Linked DNA regions of Drosophila melanogaster. The protein of the gene in region 1 interacts with the protein of each later gene in a pairwise test. Each region holds a gene or a part of one and is shown in the gene's direction. Other genes may lie near its edges. The genes, in order: CG14818, CG15468, CG10681 and Vha36-1.

The links.
Region 2: the proteins of CG14818 (region 1) and CG15468 interact in a two-hybrid assay, tested with the Drosophila melanogaster proteins (2 studies listed by BioGRID).
Region 3: the proteins of CG14818 (region 1) and CG10681 interact in binary tests that used the Drosophila melanogaster proteins (3 or more experiments, as listed by UniProt).
Region 4: the proteins of CG14818 (region 1) and Vha36-1 interact in binary tests that used the Drosophila melanogaster proteins (3 or more experiments, as listed by UniProt).

What each region holds. Positions count from the first base shown.
Region 1 is NC_004354.4:1,878,519-1,883,686, reverse strand, and holds CG14818 (uncharacterized protein), read left to right. Parts: upstream 1-3,912; 5' UTR 3,913-4,031; intron 4,032-4,106; exon of another isoform or gene 4,107-4,128; 5' UTR 4,129-4,196; coding exon 4,197-4,275; intron 4,276-4,336; coding exon 4,337-4,548; 3' UTR 4,549-4,668; downstream 4,669-5,168. Other genes in the region: trr (trithorax-related), read left to right, coding at 1-270, 350-945, 1,002-1,131, 1,186-1,368, 1,439-1,531; Coa8 (cytochrome c oxidase assembly factor 8), read right to left, coding at 2,452-2,667, 2,741-3,004, 3,064-3,114; CG14805 (uncharacterized protein), read right to left, coding at 4,683-5,168.
Region 2 is NC_004354.4:4,957,839-4,963,867, reverse strand, and holds CG15468 (uncharacterized protein), read left to right. Parts: upstream 1-2,739; 5' UTR 2,740-2,790; coding exon 2,791-3,831; 3' UTR 3,832-3,939; downstream 3,940-6,029.
Region 3 is NT_037436.4:12,498,434-12,503,924, forward strand, and holds CG10681 (uncharacterized protein), read left to right. Parts: upstream 1-3,079; 5' UTR 3,080-3,285; exon of another isoform or gene 3,286-3,289; intron 3,290-3,341; 5' UTR 3,342-3,347; coding exon 3,348-3,514; intron 3,515-3,570; coding exon 3,571-4,042; 3' UTR 4,043-4,191; downstream 4,192-5,491. Other genes in the region: CG10638 (uncharacterized protein), read right to left, coding at 57-254, 316-831, 888-1,055, 2,732-2,803; CG10646 (uncharacterized protein), read right to left, coding at 4,192-5,172, 5,224-5,394.
Region 4 is NT_033778.4:15,538,348-15,544,088, forward strand, and holds Vha36-1 (vacuolar H[+] ATPase 36kD subunit 1), read left to right. Parts: upstream 1-3,087; 5' UTR 3,088-3,189; coding exon 3,190-3,930; 3' UTR 3,931-4,151; downstream 4,152-5,741. Other genes in the region: CG30467 (uncharacterized protein), read left to right, coding at 1-1,172, 1,231-1,590; CG8187 (uncharacterized protein), read right to left, coding at 1,683-2,056, 2,110-2,293, 2,353-2,925; eIF2Bgamma (eukaryotic translation initiation factor 2B subunit gamma), read left to right, coding at 4,407-4,557, 4,611-5,119, 5,175-5,315, 5,409-5,741. UniProt on the Drosophila melanogaster protein: Subunit of the V1 complex of vacuolar(H+)-ATPase (V-ATPase), a multisubunit enzyme composed of a peripheral complex (V1) that hydrolyzes ATP and a membrane integral complex (V0) that translocates protons.

The sequences.
Region 1 (5,168 bases):
ATCACGATGGGTGCAGGAGCAGGCGCCACGACTGGCGCCGGATTAGGAGGCTCTGTGGCAGATAATGAACTGAGCTCCCTGGTTGTCCACCGGAGAGTTTTTGTCGATCGGGATGAAAACCGTCAGGTGGCCACCGTCATGCACTATTCAGAGCTAAGCAACCTGCTCCGTGTGGGCAACATGACGTTCCTGAACGTGGGTCAGTTACTGCCGCATCAGCTGGAGGCCTTCCACACACCCCACTACATCTACCCCATTGGCTACAAGGTGGTAAGTACAAGTACCAGCCGGTCGGCCGCCATGTTTATGAACAGCAATCTTAAATCCCGTTCCTCTTCCTCCCCCATAGAGTCGCTACTACTGGTGCGTGCGACGACCCAATCGTAGGTGTCGATACATTTGCAGTATCGCAGAGGCCGGATGCAAGCCCGAGTTTCGCATCCAGGTGCAGGACGCCGGCGACAAGGAGCCGGAGCGCGAGTTTCGGGGCAGTTCGCCCTCGGCGGTCTGGCAGCAGATTCTGCAGCCAATCACGCGACTGCGTAAGGTGCACAAGTGGTTGCAGCTCTTTCCCCAGCACATCAGTGGTGAGGACCTATTTGGCCTAACGGAACCGGCCATTGTGCGAATCCTGGAAAGCCTCCCGGGCATTGAGACGCTCACTGACTACCGCTTCAAGTACGGTCGCAACCCGCTTCTTGAGTTCCCGCTAGCCATCAATCCGTCTGGAGCGGCGCGTACGGAACCCAAGCAACGACAGCTGCTCGTCTGGAGGAAGCCGCATACGCAACGCACGGCCGGCAGCTGCAGCACGCAGCGGATGGCCAACTCGGCTGCGATTGCCGGAGAAGTGGCCTGCCCGTACAGCAAGCAGTTCGTGCATTCGAAGAGCTCCCAGTACAAAAAGATGAAGCAGGAGTGGCGCAACAACGTCTACTTGGCGAGGTGAGACATTAGGTCCTAGTCAATAACCACTGATTACTTAAGCTCTCATTTTCTAGATCTAAGATCCAGGGTCTTGGCTTGTATGCAGCTCGGGACATTGAAAAGCACACCATGATAATCGAGTACATTGGCGAGGTTATCCGCACCGAGGTCTCCGAGATACGCGAGAAGCAGTACGAGTCCAAGGTGGGTTTCGCGACCATGTTTTCTTGTAACTTTGACTAATCTCTGATTCCCCAGAACCGTGGCATCTACATGTTCCGGCTGGATGAAGACCGCGTGGTGGACGCCACTCTAAGCGGCGGGTTGGCGCGCTACATCAACCATTCGTGCAATCCCAACTGTGTTACCGAGATAGTGGAGGTCGATCGCGACGTGCGGATCATAATATTCGCCAAGCGGAAGATCTATCGCGGCGAGGAGGTGGGTCCCGCAAATAGAAGTGTTTCGCCTGTACCTTAACTCACAATATCTCTTAAATTCTGTGCTTTAGCTCTCGTACGACTACAAGTTCGACATTGAGGACGAGTCGCACAAGATACCGTGCGCCTGTGGAGCGCCCAACTGTCGCAAGTGGATGAACTAGAGTCGGGAGGAGCCTCTAGCGGAGGACCAAAGGAAGCGCAAGAAGCGGCGGCGAGCACGTCGCTCCCAGTGAACAGGAACAGGAGTAGAGACAGGAACAGGAACAGGACTTGTATCTGATCAAGTAGCTAGATTCGCTAAGCATTATAGTTCGTGTACATTTATATATATATATATATATATATATATATATTTATATATATATAGTTTATATGCTATATGCAGATATGCTCGTGGAGAGCATATGACCTTGTAAGTTTTGTATATGTGCCCACTGTAGCCAATTCGTATCCTTTATATCGCTCTTAAGTGCAAAAGTGGAGAGTGTCTTCATAGTTTAAATTGAATAATTGCTATCGTTTCTACATAGAAAGAATATAAATGTTACTGCTAGGACACGACCACCCCTGTAATGTATTTCGGACCCCCTCTCCTCACACAGTCGCTGGAGCACCTAATTTTATTTGTTTTAGCACCATCTCCACATTCATCACTACCACCATTGCAATTATCGCGAGGAAACTGACCGCCCCGATGGCCAACCCAAAACTTGACTTTATGCGTGTGTGCCTTCCCCTCTGTTTACCATTATTATTATTATCATAATTGTAGCGGTTATCTTTCAATATTCGGCCACTTTACATGGGGAGCGATCCTTCTTTCGCTGCGTGTATCGTGCGCAACCTTCTTTGAATATATACACTGATAAGGATATGAACACCTACTTCTATTTTATTTTATTTAAATAGTTTGCGATTACTTTTAAGTACATTAACTAACTCCGAACAACGTGTATTTTTCATCCCCTTAAATAGTAGCTAAGTAAATTTTATGCCACCATTTTACGCACGTGATCTTTTATTCCAACTTATTGCAAACGGCAAACTGGAAATTACGAAATGGGGACGACAGATATTGCACCTAAGATCTTCGCTTGGCCAGCGCCAGAAGCCTCTGGAGCTGGACTGCGGCAGCCAGGGTGAGTATGTCGAAGTTCTTCAGGTACCAGGAGATGTTGTACATGATGTGGATGCGCCAGTTCTTGTCGAGGAACGCTTTGTAGAAGTGGCTCATCTGGTCCGCGGACACTTCGCTGGTTCCGCTTTCCTTGTGCAGGCGGATGAAGTCTTCCTTTTCCTGTAAACGAACCAATTCGAAAGAGACGACATTAGCGGACTAGAAAGAGATGGCACAGTGGTCGTGGTTGTACCTCGTAGAAGCGCTTATTGTGTTTTGTCCAGAAGTCCGTGTTCCATGCCTCCACCTCGATCCGCTTAAGACGCAGGCTTCTTGCCAGCCGCGTCTCCTCATCGCCGTAGTGCCGTACGTACGGACGTAGGTTTGATTGCGCGTCTGGCGGTCCTATATAGTCGCACTTCACCGTCTTGGGATCGGGCTTGTGTGGCAAACCGACGACGGGTTTTTCTTGTGGCGGTGGACATCCCGGCTGCACTGCGGCATAGCACCGCGGTAGCTGTGTAAACAAGAAATTGAAAATCCGAATCCTATAAGGCAACACACTCATGGACTCACGCTGAACTGGAAAAGCGATATCCGGGGCTGGCACCTAAAACATTTGTTCATTTTTCGGTTATGTTATGTGAGGTGCAGTGTGGCCGACTGTCACGCTAGGCAACAGATTAAATATTGATGCCAGCAAATATTACGGGCATTCGCATGCGATTCTCGACTGAATATCTGGAGTTCAGAAACCAGTAGCCAGTAGCCAGCCAGCTGATACATGTCGACAAAATCAAGAAACAGTTTCTTTTTCCAAAATGGTCGCATATTGCATGTTTCCAGTCGCAATTGAACCAATAGGAATGCAGCCTTGTGAACAGTTAGACCAAAGCTTAAGCAAGAGTATCAGAAGAGATGTGAACCCCTCTTGTTTCCCTGTTCGTGACACGCAATCGGCACGTCATGCTCGAGCAAATACCAAAATCCCTAGTAATTTGCTTGCGTTGTGAAAATAAAACGATATACATGCACATCTCTAAAAACAACGTAGAAACAGAGGCTAGTACACTTTCTGTTTATTATGCTCGCCTCATGATTGCAACAAGAAATCTACTGTCGCAATTCGATGCTTCAAAATTATTTCGGTCAAAATGGGCAAGATTATCGACTGTAGACACCAGGCGAACAGAAAACGTTGGAGTACGACCGCTGATCGCTCTGAGAAATTAAACAGCCGTTCATTGTCAGAAGGGGTCAACTCTGGCCAATCAACATTAAGCACTATGGGAAAGAACCGTTCGATTAAGTCCAGTCAACGCCTAGAGATACGTAAACCATTTGTTTCATTGTTCGTGTCACGAATTAGGCACGACATATGCGAATAAGCCAAAATTTCCCATGCTATTCCATTGGTACGTAAAAATAAAACGAGGCACGGGCACATCCCTAAAAACTAAGTGGAAACTTAGCTTTGGACTTTTGCAGTGGATTATGTTCGCCTAGTGTTTTGAGCTAAAAAGTGTTTTCGTAATTACAAAAACGTACGTATGTACTGAATTCCCCTATTAAGTTTTTTTTTTTATATCGTATTTGAACTGAGACCTATCGTTCTCTTCTAACCACCTCTATCGTTTATAGCTATCCCGTGACAATAAATCCAACTGGAAAAAACAAACGGAAAAACTCCGGGGAAAATTCCAGGGAAAATGTCACCCAAAAACAATCATGATCCCTCGTCGTCCGGCGACTCTGGCAACACCAATGTCCAGGAGGCGGACCTCCAAGGTGAGTTTTGACAGCGCCCCGTTTCTGCTCGGGATTGGCTCTAATGGAATGACCCCTACAGAGATGGAGGACGTGAACAACAGTCTGGACGCTCTCAGCTGTGCCCTGGACGCCGTGGAGCAGCGCACAGACGACATTATGTCCCAACTACGGGAGCTGCTGAACTCCAACCGAGAGATCCGTCGCCTGATTGCCGAGGAAAATGACAACGCTCCCGAATCGGGAGATGACAACATGGACGGGCAGGCGGGCAGCGAAGCGGCACCCAAGTAGATCCCTCTACGAGAAGTTATTGTTTTGTTCATCCAAATCGTTTTTAGGCACAATCAGTGCTGTTTTTTTTCTATTATCATGTATTTTTGTCCTAAGTCCTAAGTAAACGTAATTGAAAGCAAGCTTAAGGTTCACTATGTCTTCCGCGCTTTCTTGCGCTTTGTCTTCTCTGTGATTTCAGCCTGGCCATTGGTATCGCTAGTAATATACTTGAAAGCTATCTGGAACAAGCGCATTGACTGCGCTTTGAGGCGCGCATTCTCGGCCTGCAGCTCTTGCACTCTTTCGTCGCTTGTCTGTGCTGAGTCTGGCTGATATTCTGCATACGATTTTTCGGACTCAGCTTCCTTGGAGGCGGTTTCCATTGGCTCGGATTCAGGTTCTTCTTCTTCGACCTCGGAATCCTCGACATCTGTAGCTTTGGTTTCCGCCTCAATTCCTTCGTCGTCCTCGTTCTTTCCCGAACTCATGGACGCTATAAGTTTGAGTATTATCTCCTCATCCGTACCCGGATGACTTTGGGTGTAGTCCAGCTCCGGTGTCTTGCGTCCCCCGGAGTAGTCCGGATCGAAGAGCTCGATACAGTCATTCTCATCCCACGGACTAATCATTCGCTTTAG
Region 2 (6,029 bases), 3.1 Mb from region 1:
TGATCATGATCAGCAGAACGCAGTGGGATTCCAGCATGCACTTTGGACAACATATTAGAGATCCCATACCAACCCATACCATACCATACCATACCATCCCATCGCAACCTCAAGTTCTCTGGCCCGTCGCATCATTAAAAATTTATCAGTTGATTGGAAAATTATAATTCTTTGCCTTTACGCTTTAGCAGCGCTATGATTTTTACAAGTCCACCTCTTTTGCCATCTCATCTTCCATCGTTCCTTATTTTTTTTTCCCATTCGCAATTGTGCCCGCTGTTATGTAATAACTCCCCGTAACTGCCCTCTTATCATCCGCCTGTGTCTGGTGTTGTTTCTATTTCTTATGGTCACATTTAATAACTGACTGACGAACTAACTAACTGACTAACTGACTGACTGACTGACTGACTGACTAACTGAATGGCTGACTGACTGACTGACTCATGGCGCTGCTCTGATGGATGCACTGCACCAATCCGATCCGAGCCGATCCGATGCCATCCTATCCAATCTGATCCTAGACCCCACTGGTTCCCCACTCCCCCAACGCACAGCACATCGGAAAATCGCTTTCTTTGCTTTGCTTTTGATCGGTGTTGCTGCTTTTTATTTGCAAGCCATAAAGAGTATATTCGACAAGATGGTAACTTTATCCGTTGAAATAAACCAAATATGTAAACTAATACTTCAGCGCAAAACAAACGCACTTGTGGATGGTTTGGCTTGGAAATCTGCGAATGAAAAACTCTTTCTACAGGATATCACCATGTCGATCCAGTCGGTGTTTGGCATTATTTTTTATGCGCTGGCTTCTCCACTTAGTTCCAGATGCGGAAATAAATGCACTTGAATTCCTCAACTTGTTACATAAATCGTAATTTTCTATAGACTTGTTCTATATCTAATGTATATTGCATTATTCGCTACTCGTTTTCTCCCAGTTGTTTCTCTTTCTGTTTTTTTTTTTTTGTTGCTTTTCATTATTATTATTATTACTATTATTTTTATTTTATGATCGCTTATCTTCTTCGGAGTCTTCTGCTGGTGCTGCTGATTTTCGCTACCGAAGCTGCGGAGCTGCGAAGATTTGACCGCGCCAGGTTGAGAGTCAAGTCAACTTGGGGCAACTCAAGTCGGAATATATGAATGTCTGAATGTCTGGATGTCTGGGGGGGGGTTTACTCCGTTCCCCTTGTTCGTATACCCATTCTCGCGCACTTGAACTTCCTGCATGACCAAGGCCTCCGGGAGATCAGCAGATCATGTGAACTTTTATGGCCATCATCGGTCATTACTCGTCTTGGTTGCAATTAGGCATCTTAGCGGTATAGTTCTCGACGCCGCCAGTCCTCTTAATTCATTCGTTTTTTTTGTTTTTTTTGTTTTGCACCCATGAAATGCAAATAAAATAAAGCACATTATTAGTATTAGTAAGTTGTGGGAATTATTTTGGACTCATCTCAGTCTCATTTCTTGCAGGAATTATTTTGGACTCATCTCAGTCGCATTTCTTGCAGGAATTATTTTGGACTCATCTCAGTCTCATTTCTTGCAGCTATGTGCAGCTAGTTCAGTGCATATTTCATGTTATTTAAATGCCTGCCCAGGCTCCATCAAATATTTGTTTAACCTGACCCCATTCTTGGGCCTTCGTATCCATCCTATCGCGCAGCTCACATGCCTAAACGTTTCTTAGAGACCTGCGAAATTCCACATGTGACAATTCAGCATTCAGCAGATGCCACGATGGTGAGATGGCTCCAAATGGAATAGCAAAGTTGACTAAAAGCCTGTCAATCGCTGATGTTGCGTGGAAAAAGAAAAAACACTGAACGCAATATTCGGATATTTCTCTGACATACAAAAATAACTCAGCAATTGTTCGTTTATATAATAATGCAAGATTATATAGAGCCTGGCCTATAAATTTTGAATCATATCTCTAATTTCTGAAGAAGATTTGCTACTTCAATTTTGTTCACTGCCTCGAATGGTTTTTGGGCTGATGTCCTATGCAGTAGAGGCCCGAATCTCTGGCAAGCAATTAGCAAGGCAGGGCCCAGAAGAAAGATCACCGCAAGACCACGGTCGGGGGCACCAATTGCAATTGAAGAAAAGGGGCAGCATGGAATAGGAGCCCAGAAGGAAAAGCGGCGAACAGGGGTGACTGAGTGGAAGACAGACGACAGAAGCGGGATTTATCAGAGACAGAAGACTGAGCTTTGTGAGATGGAGATGGAGAAAAGCAATTCTGCGGCTGACGGTTTTCGCAGAAAATTACAACTTGCGGGTAAACAAAGTCAACTGCCGGCAGTTGATGGTGGCTCAATGGTAATGGTGGCTAGCGTGGTAAGAAAGGAGGCGAGGGCTGACTAGAAGAATTGCCGCTGAAGCCACACGCCAAAAGCCAGCCCACAAGCCTCTGGCCCACAGCTCTCTGCTTTTCTTTTGTTTTTTCCTACTCATCGTTGTTTCTTTTTGTTTTTTTTTCTTTCGTTTTCTACTGCCGGACTCCATGTGGAGTGGAGTGGATGTTTCTGCGGATTTGGATGTGGGTGCGCAATTATGCCGCCAGAGCAACTGAGCAGCCATAAATTTTCTTATCAGCGCCGGGCCAAAAAGACAGGAGCGGTTTGGAGTGGTTTTTAAAATCACTAAGGAATCACTAAGAGTTTGAAAAACCCAATTTAAGTGGGCTATGCTTTTTTTACCTTAACGCTCACATATTGCACACACACCCAGACTTAAATCTACACTTTGTTAAAAAAAAAAATTAATAAAAACAAAATGGATAAGGTGAAGATGATACCTACCAATGATGGCGAACCAAGGGATTATCCGCTCGACGAGGATTTTCATCTGCTGCGCGATCTGGGCGACTGTCACAAGGCGAATCTGGCGGACATCGATATCATAGCGCGAACGACCACCAAATGTCAGTTGGGAGGAGAGCAGATGATTTCGCCAGGCTATCAGAGGTTAGGCCCTTCCTTGGATCGAGTACCAGATGATGAGGAAACCGACTCACAGGAGGAGGAGATGGAAATACTGCCATGCGGAATGGGCGAGGAGGGCATAACCACCGATGAGGAGACAAAAACCCTGATTACCATTCAGGGTCTGGACGAGATATTGAAAAGAATCGATATATTGCGTAGTCAACTCCGCAGGAATCAGCAATTGGAGGATATTAGCCAACCATCGGTAATGCCAGAGGATCCGATCTCCTGCAGTGGCCTGAATGCGAAGCAATCGGAGATACGGTGCATTCAACGTGCCCAGCATCACATTCAGTGCCAACTAACCGAACTCCTGTGCCGCTACGATGCCCTCCGGAATATGTTGCGCAGTTTGGGCGAAACGTGGACGTGTCTAGAGCGACGAATTGCCGATATTCGGGGACAGAACCGCGTCCACTTGGCCTGGACTGAGGAGTGCGCCAACGATCTAAGCAACTGCCAGCAGAGACATCGCTCCTTGGCCGCCGTCAAGCTTACCAAAAAGATGGCCCTGCTCGTGACCAAAACGAATATGTCCAGTGGCTTTCGCTATAGCCGTCGATATCTACGACATGCCCTGATCGCTCGACATATCAACGACTTTCGCTACGAGATCGCCGAGTTGAAGGTTTTAAGCGAGGAAATTTTCTCCGAAATCGATGGGCGACTGGACCAGATCAAGATGAAGGCTCAACGATTCGGAGTCGTATTCTCGACCACGCCGCGTCAATCCAATCTAATCGCCGATGGAACTGGCAACACTGAGCTAACCGAGCTAACTGATGCCACCGAAACGTTCACCGTTCCAAGGAGCAATAATCCAAAATAACAATTTCAAGGGCACATAGAGAAAGCACATTATCATTAGGAAATAAAATAGGAAAATCATTAAGTTATAATAAGAGCAAAGAAAAATAAATACAAAAATGTAAAATGCAAACCGAATACGCGGGCAAAAGTGCGCTCCTGTGCTGGGATAAAAAAAAAAAGAAAAAAATAGTGCTAGTGGGAGGCAGCAGGCTGGCGGAGTGGAAAATGGGAAAGCGAAAGAGACGAAGTATGAAGAATGAAGAAAAGAAAAACAAAATGAGCCACCAGCACATGGGTAGTACATCATTTCGGACTTTATCAGCAAAACAGGCAGCCGAGCAGCGCGCGCGTGGGCAGCTCCAGAGTGGAATTCCGATGCCGCCAACGCTTCCCCGGCAGCAACAAAGCAGCAGCAGCAGCAGCAGCAGTCGCAGCAGCAGCAACAACAGCAGCAACAACTGCAATTGCAACTTAATTGAGGCTTGTCTATGCAGTCGTAGCCAAAAGTAACTGCGGTTGCTACTCGCTCTATCTTTTCGCTGTTGTATACAGATACACGCGTGTGTGTGTGTGTGTGTGTTAGCCATCTCATGTCGCCCATTGCGAACTTGATGCCTCGCTGCCCCAGTGCCTTGATGCTCCACAGACGACCAGACAGCAGCAACAACGGCAACATATACACATACCATACAAACATAAATACCCACTATATAATAGCGTACTGAGGGCGTTGAGGCAGCAACATGCCATCCAGTGGCTGAGGGAAGTGGCCGGGATGAGGGGGCGTTGGGGCGATGGGCTGATGGTTTGCAGAATCAGCAAGCGAAGCCATCATCATGGCCACCACCAAAACCGACCGAAAATCAACTACCCTGCAGCTATTGAACAGTGGGCACTACTACAAGACAAACAGGATAAGAAATATATTCCATATACTGATGAAAGTGATATGCATACAACTATATAATAGTACTAGATTTACTAACATATATAGTGATGATGATTTTTACTCGAGCAAATGAAGTTTTGGGCCCACCGTGGCTGGAACAATTTAAGCTCATTCACTTGCCGCTGATTGCTGCTGGCAGTTGTTGCTGCTGTTGCTGCTGTTGGAGCTGTTGGTGCTGTCAGTGGTGGCTGCTTCTCCTGGCTTGTTGTCTAGCAAATTCACAAGTTCAAGACCAAGAGCGCGGCAAAGTTGCTGGGTCTGGCTGTTGCATGTTGCTGCTGTTGCGGCTGTGCCCGGCAATACATGCAACCAAATTGCATGCAATGCACAATGCACTTATCTAAGATGTGGCAAATGCAGTGGGTGATGTCTGAGCTGGCAAGGATTGGGGCATTCGAGAGCTGAATAAGGAAGGGTACGGAATTGGGAAATGAGGGGGCGGAATGAAGCGTGTGGCAATTGCCAGTGCAATTTGCATTTTGCATTTCGCACCGGGCGTTGTCAAATGGCCATCCTCGCAAAATGGGGAATGGCTTTTTAATGGCCACAATGTGGGTTAAGTCCAGCTCGGAAAGAGCTCTAATAGATCGAGCTCTTTAGCTAGCAACGAACCCGTAGAGCCGAGCCGAGCTGACAGCCACCAAGGGTAGACAATAATCCATTGAATTGAACGCTGGCAACGCAACGCGGAACCATTGCTCCAAAGGCCGCCAGGCGTTGAGGGTGGGCAGCAAAATCTCATTTGCCAGCCAGAAATTTATGGCCCGGCCAAAACTGCCAACTTGCATGTCAATAGAACATCACTCTTTGGCATGGGAACTAAAAGAGTTATGAAGACGGAATACGGACAATGGTCCCAAAGTTGGATTAGCTCCTACATAGTTGTAGTCAGCTCGATGAACTTCAAAGAGTGGCATGCTTAAGTGGCATGCTCACTCACTTGCAATTGTATATTTTGGGTATGCTGTATTTTGCAATCGAACATTTTTAAATTGCTAAATGTATTGCGTCGCATTTCCATTTAGGTTGTGCAGGCGAAGCTTCACTGTGTTTCCTAGTACCTACATGAGTAACCCAAGTTGGCAACCTGGAAATTCCCTTTCGATGCGTCTGCATTCCTGGCTGAATTTGATTTTGGCTCTCCAATGATTTATTATGGTTACATCTAATTAAAACGGTTCTGCAGTGCGATGATGGCCAAGGCTGCAAACATGGCCCGACGTAATGAAGCTAAATGTTCCGCACTACGGTCAATTGGTATTGACCAT
Region 3 (5,491 bases), on another chromosome or scaffold:
TAATGACAAATTTATTACATTATATTCGTGATACAGCAACAAGGCGCTCATCTGGTTTAAAACTCAATTGAAAAGGGGTAGTACTTGTGGTTGAGGCCCTTAATCAAATTTAATGGCACCACCCGTTCGCCAGTGTGATAACCATCGAGAACGGCCATTTCCTCGGCTGTCAGCTCAAAATCGAAGATATCGAAGTTCTCAGAAATTCGGTTAGTATTCGATGACTTTGGAATGGGAATGACACCCAGACCAACCTGCGAAAAGAGAGATTTTAATTAGATGCTGTCGCTGAGGTCAGGTTGATGCCTCAATTACCAGGTAACGCAGCACAATCTGCGGTGTAGTCTTGCCATATTTTTTGGCAATAACAGCCACCTCCGGCGAATAGATAAAGTCCGGCTTCTGAATATCCGGCTTGGGCTTTCCCAAAGGCGTGTAGCCCGTCAAGGTGACGTCGTTCTTCTTGCAGAAGGCTGTCAAAGCCTTCTGGTTGAGCGCAGGCGAGCACTCCACCTGGTTAGTGACGGGTTTGATCTCGCAGTTGGCCAAAACTCGTGCCAGCTGCTCGCTGTTGAAGTTGGATACTCCGATGCTGCGCACCAGGCCCAGTTTTACCAGCTTTTCCATGGCTTTGTACGTATCCAGATAGTCGACATCGCTCAGTTGGAGCACATCGTCCTCATTTTTGGGCAGCAGGGTGTTGTCATCTACATATTTGTAGCCCACTGGCATATGCATCAGATACAGATCGATATAGTCCAAGCCAAAATTGCTTAACTGCTTGCGGCAAATGCCCTCAACGCGCTCTGGATCGTGGAAAATGTTCCAAAGCTGCGCAAAAATATAATCTTATTGATAGATCTAGAACATATCATCATGGCATTTACCTTAGTGACCAAAAATATATCCTCTCGCTTGACCACACCTTCTGCGATCTTGTCCCGAATCGCCTTGCCCACTTCGGCCTCGTTTTGGTAGAAATAGGCCGTATCTATATGACGATAGCCCACATCAATCGCATGTTTCACAGCGGCTTCGCCTTCGTTGTCCTTCGACTGCAAATAGAGAATATCAAATTCATCATTAACCTTTCTCCTTTCTGACAGAATCAAATATGTGTTTTATAATGCGACTCTTGAGATCAGTATATTGTTATTTTCGACCACAGCAACACGTTCGTTTCGGCCAGGAAATTGTGAGCATATCGGAGAGCCGCGAATTGACAAATCGAAACAATATCCGAAATTATACAACTGATCAACGTCGCAAGGCACACGAAAGATTCGATAAACTTTGATAGAGACATTTAGAGAGATACAAATAATTATTTCCCCAGGTGAGCACTTAAAATGTTAATAGGATCATATCTAGCACAAAATATAGTATATTTATATATGATAACGATTGATATGATGACATTTTATAACATTGTAATATTGTACTAAAAAAAAACTAACGTAAAAACTAAACTATCTAACGAGATTCTATCTTATACATTTACATAGTTACACTTTTTTTCCGAACACTAAATATCTCTTGCTAGTACGGATAGTACTGATGATTCTTCGCTTTATCGAATTTCCAGATTCTGCGCCCTGTATTAAAGGTCTTCATTTGGAGCAACTCCTCCGGCGTTAGGTGGAAATCAAATATATCCAGATTCTCTACGAGATGGGCTCGCTGGGCAGCTTTTGGAATAGGTACCGTGCCAATATCGATCTGTAGATTTTTAGCCAATAAATATCTTTATCACTTTACAATTCTAAGGTCGTTTATACCAAGTATCTTAGGATGATTTGAGCTGGTGTCTTGCCGTATTTCGCTGCCAACGCCAGTAGCTTGGAATCAGTGTAGTAATCGGGCAGCGGATTGCAGGCTTTGGGACGCCCCAGTGGCGAATAGGCAACCACGGTGATATTGTGAAATTTACAGAGCTCAATTAATGGGACTTGCACCAATTCCGGATGACATTCTATTTGTAGGTTTGCCGGCTTGATTTGGCAGTTTTCCAGTAATCTCTTCAGCTGATTGGCATTAAAGTTGGACAATCCCAAGCTGCGCACCAGCCCCAGATGCACCAGTTGCTCCATACTTCTGTAGGTGTCCACATAGTCCACATCGCTATAAGTTCCAAAGATCAGTTTCTTTAAGCTTCTTGAATCTAAACTATGTATGTTTAGTTGTATCCCAAACTCACTTGGTCCTCAGCTGGCCATTCTCGTGGGGCATCAGATCTTCATCAGAGATGTAGTCCACGCCCACCGGCGAATGCATCAGATATAGATCTATATAGTCCACGCCCAGTAGCTTTAATTGCATATCACAGGCGTATTTCACCATCTTGGGTTCGTGGTATATGTCCCACAGCTAATTGGATATTGATTTTCGATCTATTTACATGTGCTGGTAACTATATATAACCCATCTGTACTATATCCTACCTTTGTGACCAGAAACACCTGTTCGCGTTTCAGTTTCTGGTCGCCAATAAGTTTAGCTAAAACCTTGCCTATAATGCCTTCATTCCTGTACAGATATGCGGTGTCTATATGCCGATAGCCCATTTCGAGGGCGTGGCACACGGCAGCCTCACAGCGAGACTTCTTTAACTACAGATAACATAATTAACTTTCAATTTCACAATTGCACTTAATTGGAATTGAATGGTAGAAATTTCCATAAACAATTTCTGCCTGCTGATTTATTAGCATCGCCGATGATAAGGACTTACATTGTAGGTTCCTAGGCCCAGAATTGGCATCTCGTAGCCATTGTTTAGCTTAACAGTCGGAGCGAGCTTCATTTTGCACGTTTAAATCAAGAATAAATAAGGAAATTCAATCGCTTAATAAAAAAAAAGCCGGTGAGCATAGTGTGACCAAAACGGCTTTGCGTAAAAATACCCAATGCCATTCTGCTAAGCTTTATTATTTAAATATTTTTAAGTGTTTAAATAGCTAAAGAAACTTTGATTTATATTAAATAGGAACAAATGTTGTCATAAAACAGTGTTAATTTTATGTTAAAAAGTAAAATGTTCAAATTTAATTACGGCAGTGCTTTTGCATTTTGGCAGCTTGCAGCACTGGTTTATAACTAGTACTTAAACAGCTGTTACGAAAATATCTTTTTTTTTAAGAAATCTAAACAAAAGAACTTTTAAAATAGATGGAAACATGAGATCCATTTGAAAACGTAAATAAAAATAGAAAAAACTAAAACTGCCAGCAAACGCACACAAAGCAGAGTTCAAGTTGTCGCAAAGAAACCTTGAGACCTTGAAAAGCAAGTAAACAAATCAATTTTTGTGTTCTCCCTTATTATAAACAAATAAATTCTAGGCTACAATGAGCCACTTGGGCCTTGCGGATGTGCACCAGTCCGAGGATGCCACTCCTGACCTGGAATCCTTCACTGGCTTCGGCAACTCCGCCGCCGAGGCCTTCATTCAAAGTCTCGCAGGAATGGTGAATCAGGGCGATGTGGAGACCATGATACGGGCTCAAAAGCAAATGTAAGCCATTTCATTTAACCAGAGATTATAATAAACATCCAAAATATATCCCACAGGCTGCAACGCTTTGAGAAAACCAACGAGATGCTGCTCAACTGCAATGCCTTATCGCAGAGTCGTTTGAAAAGTGCCAGCGAGGATTTCAAAAGACACGTGAAATGCCTGAGCGAAATGAAGAAGGATCTGGATTACATATTCCGCAAGATACGGATCATCAAGCAGAAGCTACAGTCGCAGTTTCCCGCCATTTACGCCGAAGTTCAGCCGCAGCGTAGCAGTTTGGCTGAGGAAGCCGAGGATGATACGGAAGCCCAGGCTAAAAAGACTGCAGAAACACCTGCTCCTGCTGCCGCAAAACCTGTCCTATCCACCAAGAAAAGTGCCGCCACCATAGAGTACGTGCAGATGGAGGAGGCAGTGGACAATGGCACTGTGGAGATCGAAAACGAGCTGATCAAGCGAGTTTGTTCCGTGGAAACTGCCAATCCCAATGATTCCTCCGACTGCACATCCGAGGATACAGGTTAAGCCTAATTAGCTTTAGTCCCTCGATATATTTATCTTCATATAATAACTTATTGGTTTAATATTTGTATAACCTGCTACTACATACAAGGACACAATTCGTTTAGTTAGATTTAAATGAAATATGCGTAATAATTTAAGAAACTAATGGCTTAAAATATAATCTGGTACTTGTACTGCTTGGGCACCTTTGAGATTATGACGCGACCATCGTAGCTGAGCGAAGCAAAGATCCACGGATCCACATTGCTCCACTCCGCGCAGTAAACGGAGTCCTCGTGCTGATCGAAGGTCTGCAGCAGACCATCTGGCAAGAGTTTGTGCCTCTCCTCGGCATCGGCACCACTGAAGTTGGACTCATCTAGTCCAGCCTGAACCTGCGTCTCCGAACTAACCGATCCCGCACACGTGAGCAGCACCTTGCAGTCACTGGAGCTGGAGAGGATCAGTTGGTCGTGGAATGTGTTGAAGCGAACGCACCAGACCCAATGCGAATGATCGGAGCGCTCGAAAACGGGAGCCTTGGGCATGCGACAGTCCCAGATCCTCAAGTAGCCATCGTCACCGCCGGTGACCAAATGGCACTGCTTGTTGGGATTGCAGTCCAGGTCACGGACCATTTGACCATGCGCATCGTTGATGCTCCAGGCACAATGCTGTGTATCCCGCACATCGTAGGCACTTAGATTGCCATCCTGGAGGGTGAGAAACTGGTGGCCCTGATGATGATGCGACCACTTGCCGCTGGTGAAATGCTGTGTGTGCTTTGCAGATCCACTGGATGAACCACTGGCCGGCACCTCGGCCACCACGCGAGTAGAGGACTCGGCCCGCTGCATCACAGCCACCTTGTTGTCCACCACACAGGCGAGTGTGTCCTGGTTGGGATGGAATTCGATGGTCTTCACACGTTCGCCCAGTGCTTCGGTATCCAGGACCTCAACCTGCTCCCACGGCAGGTACTCTGACTTCAGCTGCTCCGGATCGGGATTGAGATTCTCGGGCAGCGTAAACAGAGCCGCTTTGGTCAGCACTTGTGCTCCCTTTTGTACATTGTAGACGGAGGCCAGCAGGCGAGGATTACGCGGACAACTATTTAGTTTCCAAACTTCACCCAGGGCGTGCTCAAAGACCTGTTCAAAGTTGTATGTTTAGCTCATACTTTGATCATCCCAGATATTCACCTTTGATTGCACGGATCCCTGCTCCTCCTCGTACTGGATTAAGTGAACCTGATTGGTGGGCTTCAAGGAGTTGGTGGCTATGAAGAAGCACACATCGTTGCTCTCTCCGTACTGAGGTGTTAAAGCCCGCGCCTGCAGTTCGAGTCCGTAGATTAAGCTATTTTCATCCATTTTCCACGATTTACTCAATGTTTTGATTTCGCTGGATATCTAGGTACGCAACTTACGTACACTAAACGGCGTACCTAAAAGTGTTGGTAAGCATTTA
Region 4 (5,741 bases), on another chromosome or scaffold:
GTCTTGCGGTGGCCGCCAAGCAAAACGATGTGCCATCCGCGGAAAACTCGAATCACAAGGAAAGCGACGCATACGCCTCCGCCTCTGCCAGCGCCAGTAGCGCCTCGACCACGCCCCCACCCGCCCAGGAAGACGCCGAGGAGGCGGAGCTGCTGGAGCGTATGCGCGGCGATGCAGTCGGCAACACCATGTACAGCAGTCGATTCATCCTGAAAACGGTGATGAGGGTGGGAGAATTACTGCGGCATTCAACACTGGATCAGCAGCTGGAGGATGACCTGTGCAAAGTGTGGGACATGTCGGTGTCCCCCGAAGTGGTCACACTGCTGCTGGAGAACGGAGCCATTGATCCGATCATGTACACCCTGGTGGCGGGCTGTGAAGATGTGCGGCTCTACGAGATTCTTATCGGACTGCTGGGCAATATGTGCGCCCAGGTGGAGTGCGCAGAGATATTGGCCTGTGACCGCTACACGTTGGAAACCCTGTTCAAGATGACATACTGCATGGACACCGCCATGTTGATACAGCTGATGCGACTCTTTCAGTACATCATGGCCCATGTGCTTAGCGGCAAGGAGAAGTTCGCTGTGAACTGGTACATCTGCTTTGCTGCCTTTGAGAACTCCGCGCAGAACCTGGGCAGGATATTGCAACTGTCCGTTAGCGATGAACTGCTAGTAGCTGCACTGAAGGCCACAAATGCTGTGCTGGCCAGTTGCGCCTTGGTGGAGGAGGAAAACGCAAACTCCACGTTGAATCTAAAGCCTTTTGCGGAGGTCTTTCTAGTGCCAGAACTCTGCGAGGGGGTCAATAGCGCGTTTTTGCGACTCATGCGCGATGATCAGACAAAATTGACCGACGAGGAAGCTGGCGAGGACAACGAAGATGCAGAAGTGCCAGCGGCCCACGACAGTGATGAAGATGCCGACGTCGGTTACGACTCGTGCGGACCAAAAATAACCTGTGATGTGGAGATCATACAAACCTACCTCAATATATGCACCATTCTGGTCCAACTGCCAGAGGCGCAGGCCTCCATGGATGTGTATGCACCCAGTATAGTCAGTTGTCTAGCGCGAATACTGCAGTTTTTGCAGCAGCCTCTGCAACTCATTCCATTAGGCGAACGCCAGGAGGAGTATCTCGAGGATCTGGCGCACATTTGGAGTGTAAGTTTGGAAAAGATACTTAATATTCGACGTTCTATTTAAATATTTATTTTTGCAGCGCCTGAAGTACTTCTATCACAAGGAGGCCTTCTTAAATCTTTTGGAATTGTGGTATAGACTTAAACAGCACATTGACAACTACACGGGGGGAAGTGATCCCGACGCCAATGAGTTCGAAGAGGACGAAGAGGAGGAGGATGACGCTCCAAAGGAGCAGTATGTGGAGAACGCCTTGAAGTTGCTGCGCCTGTTGGCATGTATGGTGATAAAAGCGGAAAACTCGGATCTCCAAGAGATTGGCGATGAAAAGGTGCAACTGTTTGTGTCTGCACTCAAAGCCGGAAAGGAAGAAGCCATTTTCTCAAGGGCACTTGAATGCTTAAAGGATAAAGTGGCTAAGGAGTCGGGCCAAGCCTAAACAACATGCCTCCATGATGGATAAAGCAAAAATGACTGAGATTGTAGCTTGCAGCACAATATATTCTTAACTTAGTTAGTCTCTGTCTTTACCTAAGGTAAATCGTCCAAGGTGCCGGTAGCCTTCAACTTATTACGCATCATATCGCTCCATGACTGTTTTCCCAGGCGCACGCCCTTGTCGCCTGTGCTGCTTACTTCCAGTCGATTTGTATTTGGATTGCTTAGCACGAATTTGTTCTTGCTCTCGTTGAGAGCATGGGCTACATGCTCCAGTTCGTTTTCCAATTTCACTTCGGGGGCTGTTACCTCGATGTGAAGATTCTGCTCTATGGCTTGGGAAATGTGTATGATAGCCTCTTCTAATAAGTTCTCGGCGTCGATTTTGTTGCTCCCCACTAGCTCAGAGAGTTGGACATTTAAATTTCCTCCTTTGGTAGTTATTTGAATATTGCCATGTACTCCAGCTGAAATTGAAAGTTTTTAGCATGATGGTGTTATTCTTCGTTGTTTCGCATACTCATATTGAGATCCGACGACTGATGGACGTGCACTTCGCTGCTTTTGTGGACATTCTTGAGCTCCAGACGCCCAGTTTGTGTCTGAAACTTTGACTTTTCCACATAACAACAATCGGTTACAATACTGCCAGCTTTGGTGGAACAATTCAAGCTGTCTCCTTGCAACTTATCCATCGCAATGTTCTAAAAAAGAAATATAAAGGTTAATAATAAGATCAGATTGATAGTAAATTTTTTCTCACCCCATTTTGTGACTCTATTTGGGTAATCTTGCCCAGCAATGTGCCCTGGCAATTGATGTTGCCATTTTCACTGTACAAGTTTATATGGGTGGCCTTGATATTTTTGGTAAGGATGCCTTCCTTTGCTTTGACTTGCAGCAGTTCACTCTGTATGCCTTCCACTCGCACACTACCTTTTGCGTCCACAGAGACATCGGAACGCACAGGTATTTGCAGATGGCATTCAAGCTTTGAGGGCTGCTCCGCCAGTTGTTTAACCACCACATTGACCACCTTGTCCTCATCGGTTACCTTCACATCGAGAGAGACATTCGAGTTCTTGACATGGCCGCCAACCAGTTGGGCGATAAACACATCCCCGCTGGTATACTGATGCACATCCGCGGGCTGGATGCGCAGGAAAACATCGGACTTCACGTTGATCCTGGCAAAGGGGTTTACATAATGCAGGATCTCCTGATGGACCATCCGCATGCTCACGGCCATGGCTGGTTTGATGTGGGCTCGCGACTTGTTCGCGTATTGGCGTAGATGGTTGTTTAAATGTGTCAACCACACGCGTTGCAGAAGCATTATAAATCCAATAAAGAAATGGAATTTATTAGATTTGTTTACTTTTAAATGCAAAATCAGCTGTGGCTGCGTATTTTGCAGTACTGTATCTAAGCGCACTACCCAGCACCAACTGGTTATCGATTGGCTACGGGCAGTAGCCAACACTGTCATCCGTCATTTTCCAGTTGGAGTTTTTCAGTGTTCTGCGACGGTTGCAGTTTTCTTGATACGCAGTTGAAAATTGTTTAGTCCAGCCAATTACCATCCGAAAAAAACAGCAAAATGTCCGGAAAAGATAGGCTACCGATTTTCCCGTCCCGTGGTGCCCAGATGTTGATGAAGGCCCGTCTGGCTGGAGCCCAGAAAGGTCACGGTCTGCTCAAGAAGAAGGCGGATGCCCTGCAGATGCGATTCCGTTTGATTCTGGGCAAGATCATCGAGACCAAGACCCTGATGGGTGATGTTATGAAAGAGGCAGCCTTCTCGCTGGCGGAGGCCAAATTCACGTCTGGCGACATCAACCAAGTGGTGCTGCAAAACGTGACCAAGGCCCAGATCAAGATCCGCACCAAGAAGGACAACGTGGCTGGTGTCACTCTGCCCGTTTTCGAGTCCTACCAGGACGGATCCGACACCTACGAACTGGCCGGTCTAGCCCGTGGTGGTCAGCAGCTGGCCAAGCTGAAGAAGAACTACCAAAGCGCCGTTAAACTGCTCGTGGAGCTGGCCTCGCTGCAGACCTCATTCGTCACCCTGGACGAGGTGATCAAGATCACCAACCGTCGTGTGAACGCCATTGAGCATGTGATCATCCCCCGAATCGATAGGACTTTGGCCTACATCATCTCGGAGCTGGACGAGCTCGAGCGTGAGGAGTTCTACCGACTGAAGAAGATCCAGGACAAGAAGCGCGAGGCACGCATCAAGGCCGACGCCAAGAAGGCGGAGTTGCTGCAGCAGGGCATCGATGTGCGCCAGCAGGCCAATATCCTGGATGAGGGCGATGACGACGTGCTGTTCTAAGTATTACCTTGGATGTGTTTATTCCAGCAATATTATTGTTAAACTATTTTCTGTTCTGTATCCGTTTCCATATTGTAATTCGCAAAGGGCAAGCCACAAACTTAATTGTACCTATGTAGCAAAAGTGTGTAGACTATTCCAATAAGCAGAAAAGTATGTATTCCATTTTTGTAGTGTAGTGTAAGCTGCGCAAATCATGCATTAAAGTCTTGTTGTATCATACGATGTGCATTCTGTGTAATAATTAAGTGGAAAAAGGGAATTTTCATTGCAAAAAGGGTCATCTGACTTGTTTTATACAATAGCAAAAGCAACAAAAACAATTGCACAGTCACATGACAGCAAACATATGTCTGATTGGAAGCAGTGTTGGACAGCGCTCGTAGGTGTTTCGCTTGCATTGGATCAGCTGTTTGCGTGGCTCTTTTTGTGCTTGCACGCTTTTTAGCCGAAATTATTTATATTTTTGTGAAACAATGACCGAGTTCCAGGCCGTAGTTTTTGCCGCTGGGCGTGGCACTCGTCTACCCGAGGTCTTGGGGGATGCCCCCAAATGCCTGCTGCCGGTGGGTCCATATCCTCTGATTTGGTATCCCTTAAATCTGCTGCAACAACACAACTTTACAGGTAATTCGGATAGTCTGAATTAAAAACCTGGATTTAATTGAAAAATATTTCAGAGGTCATTGTTGTGGTACTGGAGCAAGAAAAACTAGAGATCCAATCTGCTCTGGAAAACACTCCCTTAAAGCTGAGACTGGACTATGCCACGATTCCTAGTGACGGGGATTTCGGAACTGCCGACAGTCTGCGCTACATATACGATAAGATCAAGTCGGACTTTCTGGTGGTCAGCTGCGACCTGGTCAGCAATGTCAGCCTATATCCGCTGATCAACAAGTTTCGGGAACATGATGCCGCCCTTGCAATGCTCCTATTTCCCAGCGGATTTGAGTCGGACGTTGTTATGCCCGGTCCCAAAAGCAAGCACAAACCGGAAAGGGATTTGATTGGCATCCATGCGGCCACTCAGAGATTGGCTTTCGTATCCGCCGCCAGTGACTGCGAGGAAACACTCAACATCCAGCGACATCTGCTCAAGAACCGCGGAAGGTTGGATGTATACAGCCGACTGGTGGATGCTCATGTTTATGTGCTGAAAAAATGGGTTATCGATTATCTACGAAGGGTTAGTTTTGATATGACCTTATAGTAAATTGTTTTCTAATATTCAATCTTTGCAGAAGGAAAATATATCAACCTTTAAGGGCGAATTTCTGCCGCATTTGATAAAGAAGCAGCACTCAAAACGACCTCCTAAAACGGTGCAGGACACCACATCCGAAGTGGGCGTGGTCACCAAGAATGAGGATCATGTTTTGCATGTGAGTTACTACTTGGTATTAACAGGTTACCTTTAGTACCCGTATACCCGTATTGAATATCATATAAAATCCTATTATGTCTTTAACTTTCAGTATGTAGGCCACACCATTCTGGACCAGAAGATCACGCAGACTTCACTGTTTAACCAATCTCTATCCCAATCCCCCTATCATGGCGATATTGTGCGTTGCTATGGCATTCAGGCGCCCAGAGATGCCATAGGTGTGCGGGTAAACAACACTTTGAGCTTCTTGGCCATCAATCGCAAGTTAGCCAGCATCTGGAACAATCTGTGTGGCGAAAAGCATCCACTGATCTCTCCTGGAGCCGTGGTAAAATCAACCCAAACGAAGGAGATCATAGCGGCTGACAATGCCAAGTTGTCCGAAAAGACTTCACTGAACTTCAGCGTTTTCGGACCCAAC